3 linked regions of the Schizosaccharomyces pombe genome follow. The protein of the gene in region 1 interacts with the protein of each later gene in a biochemical or structural test. Each region holds a gene or a part of one and is shown in the gene's direction. Other genes may lie near its edges.

Region 1 (3,834 bases):
AATCCAGTAAGATGAATGCTAAGACCATTAAAATAAGGAACCAGAGATGGACGAAAAAAAGGTTTTGCTAAGGCATGTTCATCGATTCCAAAGATTTTTTTGTAATAAAGACACCTTTCTATCCACCACTCATTAACTGTAGGAAATGAGAAGATGGGCAATTCATCGACAGGGAAATAATGAGGTATAACGACAAAATCAATGGTAGAAGACAAAAATTCAGAAATCTGGCCTCCATTATCGCTCAAACATTTATGAAGCCTGGAGACCTTAGTGTTTGGAAACTCGTAAAGATAAAAAGTCAAATTTTTAAAAAGTTTAGCTTCGTTTTCGATGTTGAGTTCCGTATCTAATTCGTTTTCTTCTAAGGGTTGAACAGTTTCGGGAGTGAAATCATCCAGTAGTACTGAATTTTCTTCAGAACGGCTGGAAAATTCAAATTTTCCATTATTAAGTTCTTCCCATAAAATACTTCTATCTCTCTTCTTTCCCCGTTTCATAATCACGGGTTCTAAATCCGCTTCCTCCGCCAATGCAGCCAAGGATTGACCAGACTTTTCTTTATTCTTGCTTATTTTTTGGTTTTCAGAATAAGACTTTGCCTCCGTAGTATTGGGATCTAGACGAACATACGCGCCAAGTCCAATTTTTTCGGCTGGCATATCCAATTGGAAATACTGCGGCTCAAGGACAGCATTCCTTTGTATACTTTGCCATAACCATTCAACGCAAACTACGTTGATTTTCCACTTTAATGCATATTCATATTTGCGACCCGATGAGGTGCCAGCTATTAAATGAGTTACGTCTCTAGTTAAGTCAGGGCAAAATGTACCACCATGCTTAAGCACATAATTTTCAATACGAGATCTCTCTGGTTGGCCAATGTTGGTAAGACAAACCCGGCATTTAAATAGAGTTGGTAGAAAGTGTTTATCGACGAGCAGGCCATCATCCAGATCTTCTCCCTGTACCCAGCTTTCATAAAGAACAGGTATCCATTCACTAGACATAATCTTTATGTCTGGTCTGGATTTTGCGGCAAACTATTGAAAAGAATGTCAGCATTTACTCTTGAAGGATAGTGTAATTTGTAAGATTTTACGACATACCTTGTATTTTGGAGTATCAAAATCGCCGGCTATAAGATGCGTGACATCCTTAGTAAAGTCTGATCTATAGGCAGCACCAAGTTTAGTTGCTTTTGTAGATATCTCGGTCTGTCAAGTTAGTAACACAAATAACAAAAAATGCGATTCGTCGTGCAAAAATCTTACCCTTTGCTTTAAATCGATACTGGTACAACATATCACGAAGCCTTTGAGTGGTTTAGAAGAACCCATTCTTTCACTACCGACATTTATGAGTTCTAGGTGAGTAGGTATAGGTAATTTACGAGTACAAACGCGTCCATCACCACTACATATTATTGTGAGGAAATGCAAAAATTGGTAATGTTTAAAAGGGAAAATAAAGAATGTTTAGAGAAAATCGACTTTCGAAGGTTAAGAGTAGATTGAAGCTAAAACCAAGTTGTTATATGCTACCGTGGTGGGTGCGAAGATTGACAAATGGAGAGTCATAAAAGGCCAAAATTAAATTTTAAGCATTTATTCGAAAAACTCGACTGTATTGGCAATGTACACGATGCTGTATAGCTGAGTAGCATCATTGGTTTGGGGGAAATTATGAACAAGCACCAAGAGCTGGCTATTATATTATTCCTCATTTAACCTGTATCATAATTATAAGATTTATTGAGTAAGAAGATAGTATATGGACACCACCTTTGTCCTATATTCTCTCGGTAAAAAATATCCTCTTATCCAGTTTAATATTTATATTGGATTTTAGTAACGCAAAGGGATATTGCCCTAAAGGGTTCATAGTTATATGGAATATAACATAATATTACAATTTAAATGTAAGATGAATTTATTGATAATCTGAGCATCCCATTATCTTTAATTTCAATTAAACCAAGTCTAACTTTAAGATTGTGTATGGCATTTCGTGTATACAAGTTTGTTTACCAGCAGTGGCAATTGCTCAAGCTTACCATTAAAGCAAATACTTTTAAAGCAAAAGTTTGATTTTACAAAAAAACCGTAAGTATTCCATTCTAAATTGCTTCTTTCGTATATCTATACTCTTGTCGCTGCAAGCCATACAAGACCTACTTGCTTGGTAAAATAGGGCAGCAGTACGTACTGTAAGTCACCTTTAACAAAACACCACTTGTTGAATAAAAAGTTCATTAATCGGCGAACCTATCGCCTATATTAGATTAAAGGTCTAAAAACAAAGCATTGAGGGAATAGGTACTATTTCCTCTTTTTTAAGTCACAATGGATACGAATTCTCCGAAATCTATTGATAAAGATGCAAATTCGACTGAGGTAGATGCAGCTGAGCAAGATGCTGCTTCAGTTAAAATCAATTCTACCCGTGCATCCCCCAATGGAAGTGACTTGCTGAATGATGATTCTGAAGCTGCTAAAATTACTACAAATGAAAAACAGAGTTCTCCCGTGGATTCCCATAACGAAAGTCCAAATGATACCACAATTAATAAAGGCGAAGATGGGAATGAAAACGAAGTCGATAATGTAAATAACAATGACAAAAAAGAAGATGAGGATAATGTTGAAGAAAACGAGGAAGAAGCTGATGCAAACGAAGAGGAAGAAGAGGATGAAGAAGATGATGAGGAAGACGAGGAAGATGAAGATGAATCAGGTGGCGGTAGAAGAAAAAGGGCTCGCCATGACCGCCGCAACCAATTCCTTGATATTGAAGCAGAAGTAGATGAGGACGAGGAAGAGCTTGAAGATGAGGAAGATGAAATTGGTCGTGAAGATGGTTTCATTGAAGAAGAAGTTGGAGCGGATTACGTCGGTGATGATCGTCGCCATCGTGAACTTGACCGTCAAAGACAGGAACTACAATCTGTTGATGCTGAACGCCTTGCTGAGGAGTATCGTGAAAAGTATGGTCGTAGCCAAACTGTTGTTGGAGATACAAGCAATGTTCCCCAACGTCTTCTACTTCCTTCAGTGAATGATCCCAATATTTGGGCTGTTCGCTGTAAAATTGGCAAAGAAAAGGATATTGTTTTTACCATAATGCGGAAAGCTATGGATTTGCAATATACTAGCTCTCCATTAGAAATCATTTCAGCATTTCAACGTGACTCGCTGGTCGGTTATATATACGTTGAAGCTCGAAAGCAATCACATGTTCTAGATGCACTTAATGGGGTTTTAAATGTTTATACAAATAACATGATTTTAGTTCCAATTAAGGAAATGCCGGATTTACTCAAAGTTCAAAAACAGGTTGTTGAACTGTTGCCTGGTGCATATGTGCGTATACGCCGTGGAAAGTACGCCGGTGATCTCGCTCAGGTTGACAACCTTTCAGAAAATGGTTTAACCGCACGTGTACGTATAGTTCCTCGTATTGATTATTCCGATGGGTTGAAACGAAAGAATTCTGCCACTCGTCCTCAAGCAAGACTCTTTAATGAAAGCGAAGCATTTAAAAGCAATCCTTCTAAGTTTTCTAAACGTGGTCCTAGACTTTTCCTCTTCAACAATGAAGAGTTCGAAGATGGATTTTTGGTAAAGGACATTCGTATTTCCTCACTGATAACTGAAGGAGTTAATCCTACACTTGACGAGGTATCCAAATTCAATCCTAATAATGAGGATTTGGATCTCAGCTCTTTGGCTCTCAGCGTCAAAGGGGGCCATGCTGAATTTCAGCCTGGAGATCATGTCGAGGTATATGTTGGTGAGCAGACTGGAGTAAGTGGTGTTGTTGAAAATGTTC
Region 2 (3,834 bases), on another chromosome or scaffold:
AAGAGTCAAGTAGCTACTCTAAGCTTGAGCACCTTGATTTACAATATAAACTTCAAGGATCAACCCTTCATAATTTTAAAGTAGAGTCATTGAAGATGCTTAATCATCCAGATAAAAAATCTTATAAAGGGGTCAAGCATACAATTATTGCACAAAATGTTTCATTTCGTTTTCGGTAATAATTAATTTACTTTCTATCTACCCGTTTGTTTATTATATATTATTCATATAAATTTCATTTTCTTAGTTATCACTAATGATTATAATAATTATTTTCCACACAAAGCCTCATTCATTGAAACGATACATATAGTCTATATATATTAGGATACACAATTAATGCCAAATGACTTCTGTTAATTTGTAGTTAAATTATTAAGTTAAACGATTTTATCCAAGGACAATTTTTTTGAAATATCTAATAATACAAGCATGTCTTTGAGTATTGCCATTGGTCTATCAATACCAACTAATTCTGTTTGTTGATACATTGTGTATAACTGCTTCAACGTTGTGTAAAATAGCTCTTTATCAAAGTTGCGATCACTTTCACGAAGGGCCGAACCCAAAAATGAGACCCATGCTCGTAGATGTAGCTTCTGTCTGATTTTGTTTTTCGGAAGGGAAGTGGGTAAAAGTTGAGTTAGCTGTTTAGTAAACTCACAACGTGTATGGCGTATGTTAATTCCAATACCTATTCCTTTCATAAGTATATATTGGCTCAGGCAATACCGGAGATTGGAGGCGCCTAAGTTTCCAAAGAAAAGATCTTGTTGTTTCGCATTCAGTTTTGAAAAACGTTCGTCGAGTTTGCTAAGAAAATGAAAAGCGTCTGTCAGATGTACAACAAAAAATCTTCCCTTCGGAAGCATAGCCCATATAAGGCATAAGAGTTTGGCACCTAGGTTTGCTAGTCTTGATGTTCCTTCAAAACTATTTGAACCTCGACTTTCTGTTTTAGCAGGTGCTTTGGACATACTTGTTGCAAAAGGTGATTCCATTGTTTGCTGGGGAAGAGTGAAACAGGAGAAGCAAATTCTGATGGCATCTTGAAGTTCACACAAATCTTCTCCCATGTATTTTTTCATCAACGCAGATCCGTTTTCCTCAGCATCGATCTCTAATATCCTTAACCATATGTCCATCAAGGACATCCAACGTTCAAGGTCAGGAGGACGAGAAGACATGTATGCAATTAGATCCCAATAATCAACATCTTGGGTAAATAAGCATTGGTTGGAGAAAATCTTCAGATAATTTTCTTTAGGCATATCGTTGTCCGATAGATCATTTTCAAATGACCATGCGTCAAAGTTGATTTTGCTTCTGTTCTCAACCACCTGCTGTAATATCCAATTACAGCTTTCTTGAATATTAGAAGAGGTAGGATATTCTGGGTGGACTAGAAGAGTTATGCACATTCGTATATAACAAGCTGGAATTGGTATAGAGGTCGTCGATAGAAGATATTCTAAAACATCTAATGATTTTGGCAACAAGTCTTCTTCAATACAAAGCTCTATTATTGCCTTTAGAGCCGAGTTCATTTTGAAATGGCGTAAGCAATCTTTGCTACTTTATATGTAAAAGAAGCCAGATATGGAAGAGATATCTTATTTCTTAAAACGATTTTCTTTGTAAAAGAGCATTTAACATGTGCCCTATTTACAGTCTTGTGATTATTATTGAATGGTTTGATTCACGAATTTTATATTGTAACAAAATGCAGAATTCTCAGTTTGAAGTTTTTACGCGACAGAAGAAATATATTCAAAAAGAGGGAAAGAGGAGGACCCCAAATGAGCAGTATTTTAAAAGGAAGCTTTCAACGATAAGGTTTGTAACCAAGGAAGACAACATCTGCAAAAATTATTTCGTAAAAAAAAAATTAAAAAAAAAATCACTTTTCAAATTATAAAAACATTATTCTTTTAATGTACTAGCAGATAGTACCTTTGAAAGCTAGTAGATAAAAGTTTCGCTGCTGTTATGAAATTGGTGGAGAGTCCTTGGAACCGTTATTAGTCAGGTATCTAGCTAATCTGATCCTGTCCTCCACCAAGATGGCCGACTTTCAGGATGAATTGTTGGCATTAGCTGGTATTGATGACTCAGATGTTGCTTCAAACCGTAAAAGGGCTCATGATGATTTGTAAGAAAGCAAATTTATCGGATTGACCTTGCTAACAAAACATATTTTAGAGATGATGTGTTGAGCAGCAGTTCAGACGAAGACAATAATGAAAATGTTGGACAGGATTATGCGGAAGAGTCTGGAGGAGAAGGAAATGAGAAGTCGGAAGACGAATTTGAAGAAAAATTCAAAAACCCGTATCGTCTAGAGGGCAAGTTTAAAGATGAAGCAGACAGAGCAAAGTACGTTGATTTTTACATTTTTCATAAAGTTGTCTAACCAAATAAAGGATAATGGCAATGACGGAAATTGAGAGAGAGAGTATTCTCTTCGAACGTGAAGAAGAAATTTCAAAGTTGATGGAAAGGCGTGAATTGGCAATTCGCCTCCATCAGCAAAATGCTCAGTATATGGCGCAATCTACTAGAAGGTCTACTCGTGACAAGCCTTTAACTTCAGCAGCCGCTGGCAAACGTGATAAGCTTACTGAGCTGAAAAAGCGCCGCCAGGAACGTTCAGCTAGAAGCGTCTCTGAAAGAACTAGAAAAAGGAGCCCTGTTTCCGATTATGAAGAACAGAATGAGTCGGAGAAGAGCGAAGAAGAGGAAGGTTACTCTCCCAGCTATGCTGAGGAAAAAGTTGAACAAGTTTCAAAAGATAATGCATCCGCCAATTTGTACGATTTAAATGCAATTCGTCTTGGGCGTAAACATGTCGCGGAGTACATGTATCATCCTATCTTTGAGTCCACCGTCACTGGATGCTTTGTTCGGGTTAAAATTGGTGAGCGTGATGGACAAGGTGTATATCGCTTATGTCAAGTCAAGGGTATTTTAGAAAGCAGAAAGCCGTATCGTGTTGATGGTGTTTTAACTAAAGTTTCACTGGAATGTTTTCATGGTCGCTCGAAAAGAGTGTTCGATGTCAACGTCTTATCAAATGAGCCTTTTTCCGACCATGATTTCCAACGATGGCATCACCAAATGATGGAAGATAAGCTTTCCATGCCCTCTAAAAATTTTGTACAACGAAAGCTGAATGACCTCAGGGATATGAGTAAATACGTTTTAAGCGAAAAGGAGGTTTCTGATATTATTAACAGGAAGAAAGAGTTATCGCGTGTTCCTTCGAACATCGCTGCTGAAAAGACCCGTCTTCGTCAAAGGAGACAAGCTGCTTATGTTGCTGGTAATGCAGAATTGGTCAAGGAGATTGACGATCAATTAAACACTTTGGAAGAACTTTCCATGGGATCTAACCAAAATAGTAATTCTGCCATGGATCAACTTGCCAAAGTGAATGAACGTAATCGACGCCGCAACCATACCGAAATTCGCCTGGCAGAGCAGCGTATGAATGAAGAACGAAGACGCCTCTCAGCAGCGGCTACTGCCACACCAATGTCTGCACCTACTTCCGTACTGACGGGAACAAGTCCTCAACCTTCACCTTCCCTTTCTACCTCCATTATGTCTACCCCAAAGCTGAACCCCAGTGAATCAGTCGTCGTTGCCTCTGAAAAGGCATCATCTCCTGACCTGAGTCCTAAGCTATTACCTTCTGAATCCCAAATTTTTGACGAAGGCATTGCAGTGACTCAAACCCCGAACACGTTGGAGGACAAAGATTTCAAACTTCACGAAAAAGCTGTTCACGGAATTGATGATATTATTGCTACTGTGGATTTTGGCATTGATATC
Region 3 (3,600 bases), on another chromosome or scaffold:
TTCTCTGGTCGTCCTTTGATGTACGTTGTATCTAATAAAATTTGCACAACTTTTTGCTTATATATCTGCGATGCTAATAGCAAATTTTTTAGTCGAAGATTACTGTGTGGTCTTTAAATACCCAGAAAGGTTATTTGCTTCCACATGTAAAAACCAATGTTTCGAAAGGTATTTCTTGTCTGATATATCAATTTACTGACTGTTTAGTTTACGCTTTACATCCATCCATGCAATTCTGTACTATATTATCTCGTTTTAACGGTTCGGATTGCCTTCAATTTTACCAAATCAGCAAAAAGGCATGGATACTTCTTAAAGAGTGTAAGCTTCCTACAATAGATTCGACGGGTATCCATTGGTCGCCAGATGGAAACTGGTTAGCTGTTTTGGAAAACGTATTAGATGCAGTTGTTTATATTTATCATCGCACCGGTCTTCTTTTTCACGAATATCGACCAAATAGGTTAATTGAAGTCGGCTTTTCCGATTTTGAGTGGAGTCCCTTTGGCAAATATCTAACTTTGTGCAGTTACCATGATTCAACCTTACATCTACTTGAAACAAAAACTTTTAGTATAGTTTTTCGACTTCACCATTGTTTGCAATATACCAATACTGACTTGGAAATGCATATATGGGAAGAGAAGGAAACAATCTATGAGCAACAAATGACTTATCAAAAAGTACATAAACTCAGAACCGATTTCCCAGAACCCTCCTTTTGTTCAGCATCAAAAATACGTTTCAACTGTGATGAGACGTATGCTGCTACAATTACTTCTAAATATCCTAATGTTCTTTGGCTATGGAATTTACAGAATAAAAAACTGCACACTGTTCTTATTCAAAAACATCATATAGTGTATTTTGAATGGCATCCAGGTCGTCCCGATTTGGTGGTCATTCAAACAAAAATTAGGAAAGAATCCAAAATTCCGTCTAATGCTACATTCCTATACTTCTGGGCTTTAAGTTGGAATACACCCAGGGTCGTTGGAGTTCCAAAAAAAGGTTTTAATATTCAGAAGGTTCAATGGCTTCAACCATCAGAATTCAGTTCTCGTCCAGTTATAGTAATTTGTGGTGAAGATGCATATACCGTTGCTTACATTGTGGAAGATGAAGATGAATCATTTACCGAAGTTACTCAAACTATAATTTCTCAAGAAGTTTTAGATAATGAGTTAGAAACAACGCAAACGATTTCCATACCATCTTAAGGGATTTACTTTCTATCTTAAAAGTCTTAATTATTGTAACCATTTTTAAATATTCTTTTTATTTTACTAACGACCTAATTAATTCGCTTAATGTCTATAATATTTTAATGCACGTTCATTGTTCCCGCATGTAAAACATGAGCACCCTGAGCACCCCGTCAGCTTAAGGCCTTTGCATACCTCTTATAGTTTGAATGTCTTTTTCAGTCTATTCAACTATCTTTTTCTAAATTTAGTACGTACTATTCCTGAGTTTTAATAACTACTCTTTCCTGATTCATAAATTGTAAACTTTGCGCATTTATTTGAGATTAGGGAGTCCTTTGAAAGATATTTAAAACTAATGCAACTTTTTCCCTTTATAAAAAGCATTGTTTATTCTCTATACTTACAGTATTGTTTTCTCATTTTGAAACATAGCGCATTTTACTTCGCCTCCGTATTTAATGCATATAGTTGATAGTTGGGTCCACTTCCACTATATCCTCATCAGATGCAACATTTCGCGCATCGATCGGGTTTATACTACAATTTGTATAATTAACTTTATTCACTAATCGTTGGGATCTTTTGTATAATATAAGTTAAAAAAATGAAACGCTCAAGCAGCGTTTCTGTCGAAGATGAGAAATCAGCAAGGAGAAAATTAGATGTCGTACCCAAACTTCATTTTGTAGGGTGCAGCCATTTAACGGATTATCATTTAATGGAAAAATTAGGAGAAGGAACATTTGGGTATGTGTCAAATATCTGATTTTGAATTTTATCACTAACTTGGTTCACCAGCGAAGTTTACAAATCGCAGCGGCGTAAGGACGGGAAGGTATATGCGCTGAAAAGAATACTCATGCATACTGAAAAGGAAGGTGTAAGTAGATGTTTGTTTAGATTCTTGTTCATTTTGACAGAATGACTTGGGACGCATCGACTTGATTGCGTTAATTGTTTTAATTAATTCATGAATAAATACTAAAGCATTACATTTTAGTTTCCCATTACAGCCATTCGCGAAATAAAAATTTTAAAATCGATTAAACACGAGAATATTATTCCATTATCTGATATGACTGTTGTTCGTGCAGACAAGAAGCATCGACGTCGTGGTTCTATATATATGGTGACTCCTTATATGGATCATGACCTTTCAGGTTTATTAGAAAATCCAAGTGTAAAATTCACGGAGCCGCAAATTAAATGCTATATGAAGCAATTGTTTGCTGGAACCAAATACTTACATGATCAGCTTATCCTTCATAGAGATCTTAAAGCTGCTAATTTATTGATTGATAATCACGGGATTTTAAAAATTGCCGATTTTGGTCTCGCACGTGTGATAACGGAGGAGTCATATGCAAACAAAAATCCTGGCTTGCCTCCACCTAATCGTAGAGAATACACTGGATGTGTGGTTACACGCTGGTATAGATCACCAGAACTTTTGCTTGGCGAGCGTCGTTACACTACCGCTATTGATATGTGGAGCGTGGGATGCATCATGGCCGAAATGTATAAAGGAAGGCCAATCCTTCAAGGAAGTAGTGATTTGGACCAATTGGATAAAATCTTTCGCCTTTGTGGATCACCAACTCAAGCTACTATGCCAAATTGGGAAAAGCTTCCTGGGTGCGAAGGCGTTCGCTCTTTTCCTTCACACCCTAGAACACTTGAAACTGCATTTTTTACTTTCGGAAAGGAAATGACTTCTCTTTGCGGTGCTATTTTGACCCTTAATCCGGATGAACGTTTATCTGCTTCAATGGCTTTAGAGCATGAATATTTTACAACACCACCATATCCAGCAAACCCTTCTGAACTACAGAGCTACAGTGCTTCTCATGAGTACGACAAAAGAAGGAAAAGAGAACAGAGAGATGCTAATTCACATGCGTTTGAACAAACCGCTAATGGTAAGAGACAGTTCCGGTTCATGACTCGTGGACCTAGCGATCCGTGGTATGGAATTCGTCGGCCAAATTATAACTCACAACCGCAATACCAACGTGGTTCGTACAATCGTGAAGGCGGTAACATGGATAGAAGTCGTAATGTTAATTATCAGCCTAAGCGTCAGCAAAATTTTAAACCTTTAACGTCTGATTTGCCACAGAAAAATTCCGAATTTTCTGAAACTAACGCTATGAATCAAACTTCTAATCATTCTCATGCAGACGGTCAACGCTACTACCGGCCTGAACAAGACCGATCTCAACGATTAAGAAACCCCTCGGATTACGGCCGTCAAGGAAGACAATCTTCCCAGTCTCAACAACCAGCATGGAATGTGTCCTCCAGATACCAGAATAATAGCAAAGTACAAACGACATCTCGAGCAAGCGAAAATGCGGATACCAACAAAACACAACACAATATTAAGTACATT

The links.
Region 2: the proteins of spt5 (region 1) and prf1 form a complex in vitro, tested with the Schizosaccharomyces pombe proteins (2 studies listed by BioGRID, with this or other methods).
Region 3: of the proteins of spt5 (region 1) and cdk9, one has a biochemical effect on the other in vitro, tested with the Schizosaccharomyces pombe proteins (3 studies listed by BioGRID).

The regions. Positions count from the first base shown.
Region 1 is NC_003424.3:1,061,519-1,065,352, forward strand, and holds the start of spt5 (DSIF transcription elongation factor complex subunit Spt5), read left to right. Parts: upstream 1-2,225; 5' UTR 2,226-2,348; coding exon 2,349-3,834. Other genes in the region: BRCT domain protein Rad4, read right to left, coding at 1-1,046, 1,113-1,220, 1,278-1,343. UniProt on the Schizosaccharomyces pombe protein: The spt4-spt5 complex mediates both activation and inhibition of transcription elongation, and plays a role in pre-mRNA processing.
Region 2 is NC_003423.3:1,255,616-1,259,449, reverse strand, and holds the start of prf1 (RNA polymerase II-associated Paf1 complex protein), read left to right. Parts: upstream 1-2,050; 5' UTR 2,051-2,063; coding exon 2,064-2,152; intron 2,153-2,202; coding exon 2,203-2,376; intron 2,377-2,423; coding exon 2,424-3,834. Other genes in the region: AP-3 adaptor complex subunit Apm3, read left to right, coding at 1-179; Smc5-6 complex non-SMC subunit Nse5, read right to left, coding at 381-1,547.
Region 3 is NC_003423.3:1,468,868-1,472,467, forward strand, and holds the start of cdk9 (P-TEFb-associated cyclin-dependent protein kinase Cdk9), read left to right. Parts: upstream 1-1,700; 5' UTR 1,701-1,812; coding exon 1,813-1,955; exon of another isoform or gene 1,956-2,006; coding exon 2,007-2,088; exon of another isoform or gene 2,089-2,208; coding exon 2,209-3,600. Other genes in the region: wdr8 (WD repeat-containing protein), read left to right, coding at 1-20, 93-168, 208-1,220. UniProt on the Schizosaccharomyces pombe protein: Component of the positive transcription elongation factor b (P-TEFb) which consists of cdk9 and pch1, and which phosphorylates the C-terminal domain (CTD) of RNA polymerase II and spt5.